Rattus norvegicus: one gene and its partners. The protein of the gene in region 1 interacts with the protein of each later gene in a pairwise test. Links are inferred from orthologs where the notes say so. Each region holds a gene or a part of one and is shown on either strand. Other genes may lie near its edges.

Evidence for each region. The genes of interacting proteins can lie anywhere in the genome.
Region 2: the proteins of Ehd3 (region 1) and Micall1 interact in binary tests that used the Homo sapiens proteins (3 or more experiments, as listed by UniProt). The link is inferred for Rattus norvegicus from reciprocal best matches to the Homo sapiens genes EHD3 and MICALL1.
Region 3: the proteins of Ehd3 (region 1) and Rbsn interact in binary tests that used the Homo sapiens proteins (3 or more experiments, as listed by UniProt). The link is inferred for Rattus norvegicus from reciprocal best matches to the Homo sapiens genes EHD3 and RBSN.

What each region holds. Positions count from the first base shown.
Region 1 is NC_086024.1:27,392,359-27,397,576, forward strand, and holds the end of Ehd3 (EH domain-containing protein 3), read right to left. Parts: intron 2,607-5,218; coding exon 2,194-2,606; intron 1,709-2,193; coding exon 1,544-1,708; intron 983-1,543; coding exon 455-982; 3' UTR 351-454; downstream 1-350. UniProt on the Homo sapiens protein: ATP- and membrane-binding protein that controls membrane reorganization/tubulation upon ATP hydrolysis. In vitro causes tubulation of endocytic membranes. Binding to phosphatidic acid induces its membrane tubulation activity.
Region 2 is NC_086025.1:112,576,467-112,581,684, reverse strand, and holds part of Micall1 (MICAL-like protein 1), read right to left. Parts: intron 2,553-5,218; coding exon 2,418-2,552; intron 1,891-2,417; coding exon 1,764-1,890; intron 1,645-1,763; coding exon 1,554-1,644; intron 1,432-1,553; coding exon 1,358-1,431; intron 1-1,357. UniProt on the Homo sapiens protein: Lipid-binding protein with higher affinity for phosphatidic acid, a lipid enriched in recycling endosome membranes. On endosome membranes, acts as a downstream effector of Rab proteins recruiting cytosolic proteins to regulate membrane tubulation.
Region 3 is NC_086022.1:126,242,656-126,246,927, forward strand, and holds part of Rbsn (rabenosyn-5), read right to left. Parts: intron 2,780-4,272; coding exon 2,675-2,779; intron 1,944-2,674; coding exon 795-1,943; 3' UTR 1-794. UniProt on the Homo sapiens protein: Rab4/Rab5 effector protein acting in early endocytic membrane fusion and membrane trafficking of recycling endosomes. Required for endosome fusion either homotypically or with clathrin coated vesicles.

The DNA of each region.
Region 1 (5,218 bases):
CTTAGCTTCTCCTTTCCCTCCCAGCTCCCAGCCCCTGAGTAAATTTCTACTTAGGAAGCCACAGAGGAAAAATAAAAGCATAGAAAATAAAGCGAATTGTCTATTCCACAAAAAGCCTTTCCCATCTGCTCAGGGCCTAGATGTGAAGGCACTGGGGAGAGGGTGGGTGGGCCATCTGTGTTAATTGCCTCATGTCTTTGGGGGAATGGGAGGGAGATGGAGAGAAAGTTTGGACACAGGCCTATATCCTAAGACAGAGGAGGTAAAGCGCCCTTCCTCCAACCCTGGGGACTTGGAGAGGTACTCAAACAAAGACAAACCCTTCTCATTTATAGTGTGACTGTCAAGTCGTGTGTGTGTGTGTGTGTGTGTGTGTGTGTGTGTGTGTGTGTGTGTGTGGTCATCACGTCTATCCTCTCTTTTGACACTGTCTGTCTGAAGCTGCCTGGCTCTCTCACTCCGCTACTTTCCTCTTAGATGGAGGGAGGAGATGGGCAGGCAGCTCACTGGGCAGCTCATGCCCCTCTAGCTTGACTTTGATAAGGTGGTTGGCCAGGGCAAACTCCTCATCATCCAACATGCCATCCTTGTCAATGTCGGCTAGCTTCCAGATCTTCCCCAGGACGCTGTTGGGCAACTTGGAGCGCACCATCTCCTTTTTGGCATTGGCGCCCGTAATCTTGCCATCCACCGGGGATAAGGTGTAGAAGATTTCATCATACATAGGCTTGTCCCGGGCCACCACCCACTCGGCATCATCAATGCCCTCCCCAGCTCCCTCTCCATAGCCATGCCCAAAGGGCCCTTGGAGGGTTCCCTCAAATGCTCCGCCCTTCACCATCTGAACAGGCCGCTGGGTCTCTTCCTGGCGTACCAGCACCATGAGCTGGGCAATGTCATGGGCCAGCATGTCATCAACCACTTCTAGCAGCTTGCTCTTCAGTGGTTGGAATTTGCTGAAGTCCTGGGCCTGCAGCTGATCCTGGGAAGAGAAAGAAAAGGGAATCCAGTGGAAGGAGATGTTCATATCAGGGAAGGTATCTCCTATTAAAGATAGAATCCTTGCCCAATTATCTTTCTAATGAAAGTAGTTAGGCCAATGGGCTGCACCAGGGGAGGGGAGCAAGGACTGGATGGGCTAAGGATAGGTCTTTTATGAAGGAGCAGAACAAGAGCTGGGGACAGGGAACAAAGTCAACTAGGGTTGGTTTGTGTCACAGACTGTTCCTAGGGAGTTCAGAGGTTAACCTAAGCACTTAAAGGTGCATTATCCTAGAGATGGTGGAGACGTTGAACATCTAGCCTTTACTAGGGCTTCACTATGTAAGGGCTTCAGTGTCATCAAACACACCTGTGCCCTAGGGGACAACTGGCTGTTTCTGTCCAGTTTGGCTATGGCATTTGCTGTGAGTGATTGTGTCTAATGCCACCTCCTTGCCTTATGACTCTGGCTTCTCCCAGGAGCTCTGTCAGCCCCTTCATTCTCTGGCAGTCAGCTAACAAGATGTTTTCTTACAGCCATAGGGTCCCTGACCCTCATTACCTGCATCCTCTTCAGGTTGGGGAAGTCCCCAGGGGAGATCTGGTGTTCTCGCTCAATCCGGCCATAGATCTCAGCCAGGTTGTTCACCAGCTCTTTCTTTTTGGTGTCCTTCCCAAACACTGAGGGCATCTCCTTTTTTAGGGAGCTGATGATATAGGCATGGACCTGACAAAGAAGGACAGAGGACAACCTCAGCAGAAGCCTGAACTGGCCCTTCAAGTCCCTCCTCCTGACCCTGCTTCTGAAGCATTTCTTTCATCTAGCACATTACCGGGCTAGCCTGGTGAGACTATCGAGAGGGAAGGTCACGGTGGAGGGGGTGAGAACATTGCTGTTGTAGACACAGACAATGGCAGTTTCTGAATACTAAGGTATCTGGTAAAGTGACAAGGGCTTTCAGACTCTGTTTCTCTTCATCTTCCCCCAGCCCATTCAGTTTATAAATGTAGAAAACAGCACTGAGAAACTACAAAAGCACGGACCTCCTGGGGATCACCGAGGGAGCCATGGAGCCAAGCTCCAAACTGGCCATCTGATCCAGAGCCAGCAGCCATAACCACCCACACTCTCCTATCTAAGGGACCTCAGTTCTCACAACTGATTTCTCCTTTAGAACCTGTCTACATTGCATTTACTTGTGGCAGGGTTACCTTGGCCAGCCGGGCTCTCTTGATGAGATCATTGAGCTTTCGAAGAGCAGCATTACGGGGTAGACTCTGAATGTCTTTGAACAAGTCTTGCTCTTCAGCTTCAAAGAGCTTCCTGTTGTCAGGAATGAGGAGAGGGTGGGACCAGAAGGAGCCAATGTAGACCCGGATCACCTCTGGTGTGTTCACAATCTTCCCCAGGGACCACATGAGGGCCCCATACACCCGCATCAGCTGCTGGGTCTCAATCTGGTCAGCCTTGTTCAACACCACTCGCATCTTGTCCTCGTGGTTCTTGAGGGCCTTGATGACTTCTGAGAACTCATCAGAGATGTCAAGCTTGTGGGCGTCAAAGAGCAGGATGATTCGGTCCACCCGCTCAGCAAACCATTCGAGGACAGCAGCAAAATCATACCCTGTGGTGGATTGACAGTCAGTGGGTGGAGCTTTAGGGCATGGAAGTATAATGAAGGGGCCAATGTAAGATAACACAGTCTTGAAAATTGCCTTTGTGTCCAGATTCTGGTTCCTCCCATTGGACCGTTTGAGCAAATTACTGTGTGTGTGTGTGTGTGTGTGTGTGTGTGTGTGTGTGTGTGTGTGTGTGTGTGTGTTTGCAGTCCTAGGAATCAAAGGGCCTCATGCATGCTATCCAACTGTTCTTCCACTGAGTTACATGCCCAGACCTTCTTGGCCATCTATAAAATGGTCACTAGAAAGTATTTGGCTAGTAGGATGATGGAGACACTCAGGAAATGCTGGACTCTGTTACAGCATCACTACTCTCATAAAGACTGGCCACTATCTATATATCTTATTGAAGTTAGGGGACAGGGATCATGATGGGAACAGAATTCTGGACATTATTTTCATGCTGATATTTTGAAATTGGGTCTTACTGTCTTGCAGTAGCCCACACTGGCCTTGAACTTTCTCTATAGGCAAGTTTAGCCTTGAACTTGAGATCCTCCTGCCTTTACCCTCCAAAGCGCTGAGGTTCCAGGTGTGCATTATCATGACCCATTTGGATACCTGTTATGAATTTGAACAAAGACCCAGAAATTCTTCACAAGGTACAGGCAACAAACCAGAAGATGCAGGTTACTGATACATGTTCAGACCATGCCCATCTCTGGTCGGGAAGAAGTCTGAGTTCTCGGTACAGACTCAAGTGACTTATTCTCCTATAGTTCACAAGATCGCTTCCTTCCTCAACTGCTGCAGCCCCACCCAAATTCCCAACTCCTATCCTGTATGGGAGTCCTTCCTGAGGATGTGACTGGACCTCTGGCACCTGGTTACCAGCATTGAGCTACTTCAAATCCAGCTGGTTCCAGGAAATCTAGAACTCCTGCTCCGCTCAATGCCAAGCAACTGTGGGTCTGGGAGAGGGAGACAGTTTGGTTATGCAGTGGTCTCCAAAGGACTCCTATTGGGGGCTTGGTGTCAGCTGGTAGGCTTTTGGGAAATGAATGGATCATGAGGGCTCTGAAATAACCACTGGATTAACTCCTTCGTGGATTCATAATACCAAGGGCATTACTGGGAGATAGGTGGAAACCGGCAGACAGGGGTTATGTGGAGGAAGGGTTCACGGAGGTGGGTGAGTGGTGGGCAACCTTGGAAAAACAGACTTTTATTCCAAGCTCGTCTTTTTCTCCATTCTGGCCCTTAAAAGGTTAGCAACACTGCTCTGCCATGTTCCAATAACTTGCTTGATGTTCTGTTCTTACCAAAGCCCAGAAACAGTGAAGCCAAGAGGCCATGAACCATGAAACAGACCTGACCATCCCTCCTTTTAAGTTATTAGCCTTAGATGCTTGTTACAGTGATGAAAAGCCAACCACAGAGGGAGAGGCTACCCCTGGAACTCACCTAATAGACAACGATGGCTGCCCAGGAAGCCCCAGGGGTCCACCTGTCTCAGCTTCCTCAGCGCCAGCATTGTAAGGGGACACATGTGCTTCTAAGTCCAGCTTTTATTATATGGACTGTGGGGCTTAAACTCAGGTCTTCATGTTTGCATGACAAACGCATTACAAACTGAGCTGGGTCTTCCTAACGGTGTTTACCCATTACCCTCCTAATTTAAGGAACTCTCCCCATAGCCTCAGCCTGAGCAAGCCTGCCTTATGCTTCTCCATCTCTCCTGCACCCAGGGCACGGGGGGGAGGGGGGGGCGCTCCATCAGCATATGCTGCTCACGATTGACATATAATCTTGTTCTGTCTTTTACATCTAGGAAACACTGAACAGGTCACCTCTGGACCTTTAGTCTTCCAGTCTCTAAATCCAGACCCACAAGTGCTTTGGCCCCAGGGTTGCGATGATCAAATCTAAGAGGAGTGGCTGACACCACTTACTTATGACCTTGGTCAAATGCCCAGTCCCTTCATAAAGAACTTCTTGGTGTGTTCCCACAGGACGGAGCTTGCTTGGCGTGTCTGTGTCCCTCTCTGTAGGCTCACTGGCCTGGGTAGGCTCCCTGTGGTTTCTGCTTAGTTTATTAATTTGATATGCTGGGCAATAGAATCCCCTTGCTAATCCTTGGTCTCTGCTTCTGGGATGGATGACCTTTGAACTTCCTTTCTTGGTTTACAGTTCCCGGCTTCCAGGCCCAGAGGTGTGAGGACAGGGGGTGCAGTAATGTGGAAGTGAGACACAAGGGGAGAGGAATGCTGAAGGCCGCTGCCACTGGGGCCTTAGGTTTGCCTACAGGAAGCCTGCTGGGGTCTGCGGACAAACAAACCTTTCCTATGAGCAATGAGGCCTCCCATCAATCCTCCTACTTTTGCAAACTCTGCAAACTCTGGTAAGCTGCTATCAAATGACAAGTGGTGAGGAGCCTCCTCTGAGGTGTGTGGCTGTGAAGACAGTGAGTGAATCTGAAGCCCTGACTCTGCAAGCTCCCCGGAGCCTCACCCTCCAGGGCTCCTGGCTACTCCAGGGTGTGTGACCTTGAGGATGAATTGTTAAATTGCTTCCATAGCCTGGACTTATGTGCATGCCCAGAAATAAAGGCGCGGGA
Region 2 (5,218 bases), on another chromosome or scaffold:
GGACTGGCTTGAGTGAACAAGCACAGGGAGGACAAGGAACTCCCAGGAGTCCACCTGCAGAAGCAGTTCAGTCCAAGTCACAAAGCGGAATGTGCCCCCACGGCCATGGAGGAGGGCAAACGGAGGGACAATGGGCCCCCTGGTGTCACTAACACTTGCCACCCTCCAGATTCTTCCCTCTTCCAGGCCTCTTGATGCTTGATGTCTCAATAGGACCACCCTCAGGGCCTGCAAGGCTGGGTGCCCATATCTGGTGCCACTCATGTGTTAAGCTACCAGGAACTACCCCATTCCCACTTCACCTTGAGGGACAGGAAACCCAGCCCAATCCTGGGGACAGCAAATGGCTTCACAGCCACTACCTAAATTCCAATTCTCCTGTGTCCTCACCCCTGGAGCCTGGGTAGGTTGAGCTCCTAGTCTACGTGCAGGGAAATTGAAGTTTTAGAAAACTAAGCCTTTTGCCAGCATTACCCAGACAAAGTCATTGAACCCAAGCAGCCTGACCTCTCACATGGTGGCCTTTTGTGGCATCTATGGGCCCATCTCCCTCAGGGTCCCATAAACTAGCCTAATCTTCAAAAGCAGCATCAGGGGCAAGCTGACTAGGGCAGGGTGTGTAGCCACAGCCTTGGGGCTGCCGGTCATACTCACTCTAGTTACACCAGGCTCCTGAGAGGTGGCCACACTCCCAGCCTCCTGCTGAGGTGAAAGTGACTCACAGTTGGCAAAGGAAGCCAAGGACATTCTGTGACTTGGGGCCATCCCAGCCTTCCAAGTGCCCAAGTTAATGAAAAGGCAATACTTCATTCACAGAGTCAGTAAGAACTGGTGTGGGGCAGGCATGGGCAGACAGAGCTAGCATCTCCTACATAAATGAGGAAAAAGCCCGGGCTCTGGTCCTGGTCTTCTATAACCTCAGCTCTAAAATGGCAGTGACGGTTGATGACATCAGCACATAGGAAAGACGTCAGAGCGCTGCATCCTTCCATGGCTCTGTGATCTCTGCCAGCAGCTATGGCTCAGTACATGCCACAACCACAGACAAGTCAAGCACTCTTCCACTCCATTTCCCAGCTCAGCCCTCAACCCTCAGCACACCCGAGGTTCCTGCCATGCCCAGAGTCAAAAATACGTGGATTCTAAGAATCAGATTTGGAGGCTGGATAGTGGTGGTGCACACCTTTAATCCCAGCACTCAGGAGACAAAGGCAGGTAGATCTCTGTGAGTTTGAGGCCAGCCTGGCCTACAGAGCTAGTTCCAGAGCACTTAGGAAGCAACCTCCCTAGTTTTAAAGGCAGGCTCCTGTGGCCCAGGCTGGCAAGGGTCTCCTGGATCTTTGGGTCCCAGGCTCACCTGGCTTATTGAGAAGGCACCGGAGTTCAAACTCCACATCAGCCTGGCGCTGCTCCAGGTTCTGCTGCTTGAAGCTGAAGGGTGGGATGAAGAGGCAGTGAACGCTCATCTGCAGGCAGTGCCGCCATGGCAGACGGCACAAATTCCCAGTTCCCCTCAGACCCGGCGGGAAGCAGGCAGGGCAGTCAGGACTCACACATAAATGAGCTCCGACTCTCGCCGCACTAGTAGATGCTTCTCGTGAATGAGCTTGAACCAGTCCACCAGCATGTCGTCCTCGCTGCCTTCTGGAAGCCAGAACCCCACTAAGGCCAGAGCTGGCATCCCTCACAGCTCCGCACTCCCAGGTGGAGGGGCTCCCCTCAACCCACAACCCTCAGCCAGCTCCTCTTGGCAGCTCCCTCACCATTGGCTCCACCACGCAGCTTCTCCTCCAACAGAACTCCGCTGTGCTCCAGGGCATCCAGCTGGCGCTCAATACTGTCCATCTCACCATAGATGTCCTCTTCAGGAATATACTGGTCAGCCTGGACCTGCCCAGTAATGTTCTGGTCACTTAAAGAGCGGTGGCTGTCCCCTCCACCGGCTCTCCTCCAGCTCACAGGGTCCCCTAGCACTGCAGGCTCTAGGAACCCAGGTCCTGTCCCAAAGTTGCAGGACAAGAAAGCACCACGGGTGTGAGGAGTGGGGATGGCCATGAACCCTCCAAGTCAAGGTCTGACAAACTCCCCATGAGAGGTTCAAGTAAGTCCTTGCTCCAGAGGGAAGCCTCCCCTGCCCTGTCACTCAGGAGGGGTTTCTTTGTTGGGCAGTGAGCTAGTGGAACAGGTTAGGGAGAAGCCCGGAAGCTCCCTTCTGAGAAGCACAAGTTTCTCCCACGGTTACGCTCTGCACTTGAACTGTTACACACAAACACCCACCCACTGCTCCTGGATAGCAGGATCCCTAGGCTCGGGTCAGCCTTCCTATTGGGCCATTCACAGGTCCCAGAAGCCAAAAGCTGCTGAGGGGAGGGTGCTGGGCCTAGGCCAGATGGGTTTTAGGGTCCCTCTGCTGGCACCTTGCGCTTGATTAGTGGAAAGCCATGTCCAGGGGCAGGTGGCCTCACAGGCTTGGCTCCTTTGGTGGCCTTCCTTACAGTTGGAGATGTGGAGGGAGATGGTTTCCGGTTGAAAGGATTCTCCTTGCAGGAAGACTAAAAGTAGGCATGAGAGACAGTTCAATCAGAGAAGTGTGATCATACAGGACTATGGAAAGCAGGTCAGGACACAAGTGGCAGGAGGGAGGGTCAGGCAAGAACAGAACCTCCCAAGCTCCATCTTTCCACACTCATTCAGCTCCAGTTCCACGTCCAGACTGCTCCCCCAATGAGCTCTCACACCTCACATGGCTGTCTGCTCATCCAGACTGCTCCCCAATGAGCTCTCACACCTCACATGGCTGTCTGCTCATCCAGACTGCTCCCCAATGAGCTCTCACACCTCACATGGCTGTCTGCTCATCCAGACTGCTCCCCAATGAGCTCTCACACCTCACATGGCTGTCTGCTCAAGGGCATGGCTGGGTGAATCGGCTCTGTCTGAGCCAGATGTGGTGGCCGAGCAGAGAGACTGGGGTCGGGGCAGAGGGAGAGAGGTGGGGGGAAGGGGAGGGAGAGAGAAGAGGCAGAGGGGGAGAGGGGCAGAGGGGGAGAGGGGCAGAGGGGGAGAGGGGCAGAGAGGCAGAGAGGCAGAAGCAAAGGCAGGCAGATCACTGTAAGTTCTAGGCCAGCCAGGTCTACATGGTGGGAAAAATAAAAAAAACCCTTCGTCTGAATGCAGGAGCTGGGGCTGAAAGATTGAGCAGAGATTAGAGGGTGGGGAACTAAAATAAACTGAACTGTTAGACACAGACTCCCACCCACTGCTCCCATAAACATGCGTGTCATGTGTGTGGGACTGTCCAAAATGCAGAGCTAAAGGAAGGTAGTTTGTTGATTTGGTTTTCCGAGACAGGGTTTCTCTGTGTAGCCCTGGCTGTCCTGGAACTCACTCTGTAGACCAGGCTGCCCTTGAACTCACAGAGATCCACCTACCTCGGCCTCTTGAGTGTTTGAGCACCGCCACTTAATTAAATAGTTTAAAAAAAAAAACAGAAAAAAAAATAAAAGAGGGCTAGAGAGATGGCTCAGTGGTTAAGAGCACTGACTGCTCTTCCAGAGGTCCTGAGTTCAATTCCCAGCAACCACATGGTGGCTCACAACCATCTGTAATGGGATCTGATGCCTTCTTCTGGTGTGTCTGAAGACAGCTACAGTGTACTCATATACATAAAATAAATCTTTAAAAAAAAAAGAGAGATGGGCTGGAGAGATGGCTCAGCGGTTAAGAGCACCCGACTGCTCTTCCAGAGGTCATGAGTTCAATTCCCAGCAACCACATGGTGGCTCACAACCATCTGTAAAGCGATCTGATGCCCTCTTCTGGTGTATCTGAAGACAGCTACAGTGTACTTATATATAATAAATAAAATAAATCTTAAAAAAAAAAAAAAAAAAAGAGAGAGAGAGAGAGAGCTAACAAACACAAAGCCTTGGGTTCTAGACCTGGTACCAAACACACATAAAGCCTCACTTGTTGCTTGCCCCTTTACAGCTGAGCTATGTTTCAGAGGGGTTATGTTCCCAAGGGCCCAGCAGCATCATGGAGGAGCAGCTTCCCACCTAGGGACAGAGACACTGTGGTCACCTATAACCCCCATTTCCCACTCCAACTGCTTTTGATATTCTCTCCTACTCTCAGGGGTGGGATTGGGTTCCTTAGGAGCACCCCTGGGGTTCTGCCTTCTCTCTCTCTCTGTAGTATCAACACCCAAAGGCAGTCCAGCCAAGCACAAGGCCTCTGAGCCCTTCCAGGCATTTTAAGCTGCAGAACAGCCTCAAGGCAGCCTTCCATACAGCCATGCTTGCAGTACAAATGGAGCTGGGTAGGCTGCACAGATGGCTTAATAGCTAAGAGCACATACTGCTCTTCCAGAAGACCAAAGTCAGGGTTCCAGCACCCACATCAGATGGCTAACAAACACCTGTCACTCTAGCTCTTGGAGATCAGACACGCCGCCGCCCCTGCTGGCTACCATCGGCACTGCACTCTCATGCATAAACCCACCCATAGATACACAGAATTTAAAATAAACACGAAAATCTATGAATAATGGTCTTGGGAGGGTACTTAAAGCTCCCCTAGCACTCCACTTGCCACCACCAAGATGCTCTTCAGACCAGTCTGGAAACTTGGCATGCTCAGTGGCTTATTATTAGAAGCAGGCCTCCTCGACGTCAATAGCAGGCGGCAGAGCCTGCATGAGTGGATGTGGCCCAGAGAGGGCCAGGCATATAGAAAAAGTGGGCCATCAATGCCAGCTACAAAGACAGCCGCCTTACATGTGTTGTAGAGCCACAATATGTATAAGACTGGACAAGCCCAGGTTCTGAGAAACAAATGAGCCTAGAACTACAGAACCCAGATGCCGAGAGAGGAGCCAGGAGATCCTCCTCACACCCACTTCATGTTGACAGGAGACAGAGACCAGCAAGGGCCCATAAAGGGTTGGGCCCATAAAAAAGGAGCCCAGGAGGTCCTGCACCCTTGAAACTGATGGGGGCTCACCTCGGCTCCTACAAAGCAGTGTGGCTACAAACGGGAGTCACTTCAAAACTTGCCAACCACACCATGGGCCCCTCAAGAACAGAGACCTGTGTCCTCAGGAGCCTACACACACAGGAGGTGGTCAGCGAGAGGTGCTGTCTCTACTGAAGGAGTTGTCTTTCCTGTTTGTGCTTCACTCAAGATTACATTCTAGAGCAATCATATGCCTGTCACC
Region 3 (4,272 bases), on another chromosome or scaffold:
TGTTCCATCACCTACTAATATTCCACAGAAACTAACCAGTCACAATTCCCAAGTCACAGGCCCTTGAATGTGACCTATATAGTGGTCGTTCTATCAAACCCCAGGGGCTGACAACTGCACAAGTAGAAAGTTCTCCCAAACCATAACATCCACCAAGAAGTTGATCACTACTGTCTCATAGTCAAGCTCACACTGACACCACCACCCCACCACCCTCACACTTGGGAACTTTACTTCCTTTAACTGGGAGGGGGCAACACTGGCAACATTCCTGCCATCTGTAAAAAGAGGCACTGGTGCCCACTGGGTTTAGACTCTGCCTTCACACAGCATCTCCCTAAGTGTCCAAGAGATAGTCCAAGCAGGGAGGTGCTGAAAGGAAGCAACCAAGTCAGGACAGACTCCTGCTGAGCCCCTGCCTATCTTGGCTAGTGGAAGGGGTCTGTTAAGGGCTTCCCTATAATACTGCATAATGACCAAGAACAGTCAGCAGAAAATGGACAAAGAGGTACCCAGGAGCCATTTCTACCTTGGCCCAGCTCTGTATCTCAATAAATAAAATCATAAAGTCCCCTGAAAAGGGAACACTTCATTAAAAGAAATACAGAAAAACCAGCAAATAATGCCGATTTTTTTCCTGTTCTTGTTCAACTATAGTGGAAATGTCTCAAAGTGCACAGCAAGAGACTACTATTTCCAACCCCCACCTGTGTGCGTTTCAGGCGCCTGCCCATCTCCTCCTCCCACTTGATATCATGCTACCAAAGACTCTGCCCAGTTCCTGCCCACTGCTGTCAGTTAGGGGCCCCCTTCTGCTTAGCCAGGGTGCACTTCAGCTCCCGGAGGTTCTCCGTCAGAACCTCAACCTCATCCATTCGACCACACTGCTTGGCATCGAAGATGTAAGCCTTGATGTTGTCAATTTGCTGCAGGAGCAGCTCCTCCTCAATGTGTTCCTCAGCCTCCATGCCACTATCACTGTCTACCTCAAAGGGGTTGGTGCATGGACACTCTTCAAAAGGGTTTCCAGGGGCGGCTGGACTGGCAGACCTGGGATGGTCATCCTCATCAAAGGGGTTGGGTGCTGGACTGTCTGGGTCAGTGAAGGGATTCCCTGCCCCCAACTCTGCCACCTCCTCTTCCTCAGCATCTTCCTCAAAAGGATTGTATTCTTTGGTGACAGCAGCTGGAGGGCCCAGGAAAGCCTCTACAGCAGCAGGGCTGACAGCACCCTCTATAGGGCTGGAGAGGTCTTCTTCATCAAACGGGTTGAGAGAGGTCTTACTACTTGGCTGTGATATGGTGCTCTGAAGGAGTAATTCTTGGCTAAGGGCTGGGGACCCAGACCACACATGGATGGGTGCTAGAGCTGAGCCAGGTGAAAGGATATCAGGAGCTGTGCTGCTCTGAACTGGGGAGGAGTCCTCATCTAAGGAATAGGCAAGATCAGTGTGAGGCCCTCGGATGGGCTCCAACTGGAAGGGTAAAACTTCTCGGAGTTCTAGAACACGAGTCCGTGTTTGCAGAGATGCTGCCAGGAACTGCTCTTCTTCTCGTTCCAGCTCCCGCTGGCGGAGCATCTGTAACTGCTCCCGCTGTAGCTCCTCCTCCTCAGCCTGCCTCCGGGACAGTTCGATGGCCTTCTCAGTCTGCTGCTGGTCATACTCATCTTGCAGCTGCCGCAGGTTCTCTTGAAGTGTGCGCACCTCATCTGTGCGGCCTGCAGCCTTGGCCTGCCTGATGAACGATGTAATGTTATAGATCTGCTGAAGGAGAGGGTCGGGGTCTTCACTCTGTACCTGACCTTCTGACAGTGGGAGCCAGCCCTCAGCCTTTCGCAAGGGGGCAGGTATGCCTTGAAGAGACCTCATGTCCCCATTGGCTGTATGAGATGCCAAACCACTCTGCCTTTCCTCAAGCTTCCGTCGGGACTCCAGAGCAGCCTGCAGAGACATCACACATCACCAGGGTCACCATGGTCACCAAGACAGCAGCCTTCCCTGTCTGCTACCCTCTATGGTCTCAGCAATACTAAGATAATTCAACTGCTCAAACAAAGACAAGCTTAGATTTCAACAATAAAGCAATGTGAGTTAAAAAGATTCTTTCCCTCTTAGTTTCATCAACTGTATACTTTCCTTAAACTTCCAAAGACTGACACCCTTATCTCCATCAAGGTTAGAATTTCAGACAATACTAAAATAAACACACTGCTTTATGTTTTCATTTTGGGTTTTGTAGTACTGGGGCTAGAACCCAGGGTGCTTTAAGCATGCTAAATAAGTATTCTATTCCTGAAGTATAAAACAGCACCCTCATTTTCTTTAAAAGATATAGCCTCACTATGTAGCACAAACTGGTCCAGAACTTAAAACCTTCTTGTCTCAGCTTCTTGAGGTCCGGGATACAGGCATGCACTACTGCACCTCTATTGTCTAACAGTATGTATTCCTGGACTGGCCTGCAAGCCTAACAGAGGGAAAACTGCCATCCCTGTAGTGGTCTAGACAGGAGAGCATCAACAGAAATACTAAATAAAACTAGGACTCAGTGGGAAAACAACTGTTTTCTAAGGCCATACAGAAGCCAGCTTGAAATGGAGAGACTTAGCAGCCAAGGGGTAGGGTATGAGAGCAGGGAAGTCGAAGCCGCTAGGTGCCTGAGCCCCATGCACCTGTCGCTCCATGGTCCTCTTCTGCTCCAGGTCCTGCTTCCTTTTCTTTTTTAGTTCTTCAAACTGTTCTTTGGTTGGCAGTGACATCAAACCCAATAACTTTTCCTGTAGGAGAGTAATAAACAATTTAGACAAGTGTTTTTGGGAAGATGGGGAGAAAAATTGGACCTTAAGGCTTATACACTTAGGGCAAGCCACTCCAACCACTGACAGGAAGGACATGCCTGCTAACTGGAAGTCACCTTTCAAATTGACCTGCCTTTTCCTTATGAGATGGTTGCACCAGATCTGAAGATGTCCCCAGGCCGGTGCCAGCTTCTTTCTGAGGCTGTGCGCTGAGCCCATCCGCCCACATCTACCTAGACCCCAGCAGTCCCTGGTACCCCTTTTCTTTATTTACCGCCCCTAGATCTCTCCCTATTTCATATTCTCTAACATACCACATGTTTTATAATTTGTTGCTATGTATTCACATTCTACTAAAAGAAAGACCCCTCCTGGAGAGAGGACTGAGGCCAAAAAGTCATGAAACTTCAAGAAATTGACAGGACTCAAAAAACTAATGAAAATTCTAAAATTTCTGGCCTTCCTAAGATGCTTTGAGCAAGAAACAACTGCCAGGTGAGGAGTCACCTTATAGTGACTTGCAACCAAGTCATCCTGGGACTCTAATAATGCAGAAGATATTAGAGGTAGAGAAATGCAACTCAGATCTAGTCACATATGTTAAACCTGCTGTTCTTGAATCATTAGCCAATGGCCCAGAAAGATTCCCTGATGAGAAAATATCACTTATCATAGTAGCAAAATTAGAAGCCATCAATTCCCCAACTAAAATGAAATAGTTCAATAAAGAAAACCAGACAGAGCCACAGTAGCATTCCACAGCCAAAACAAGCATAGGAGAGGCAGTGATGGAACCGAGACAGAGTTGCAGGAGTGTCTGTGAGGGCTGACCTTTCTTGTCCACCTGAGTGGATTTAGAATCAAAACACACCTCTAGGTATGTCCATAGGGTCTTTCCAGAAAACTCTGAGGTGGAAAGACCCCCTTTGGTGTGGGTGGGTCCAAGCTAGGCTGCCAGACTGAATAAAAAGGAGAAAGCAAGCTGAGCACCAGCGCTCACCTCTCTCTGCTTCGTAACTGCATACACAACATAACCAGCTGTCTCAAGCTCCTGCCACCATGACCCCATCAAGGCAGACTTCAAACTGACTCAAACAGTCTTCCTTATGTTTATCAAGTATTTAATCATAGCAATGAGAAAACTAAACAATGAACTATAAATATTGCATATAAAAATATAAAGAAAAATAAATTAAGAAAGAAAACACACCAGAATGAAGAACAACTGTATTGGAGACAAAGGACTAAAAGCTGTTTTAAGCACAAGACCTGTGCCTGTAGAAATGGCTCAGGGTTGACAAGGACCTGAATTCCATTCCCAGCTTCCATATTAGGTGGCTCACAACATCTGTGACTCCAGATTCAGGGGATCCAATGCCCTCTGTGGATTCTGGAGCACATGAAGTCACATGTGCTTCAACTTACATACAGAACACATACATACAATATAAAGGAAAATCTAAAAATAAAGA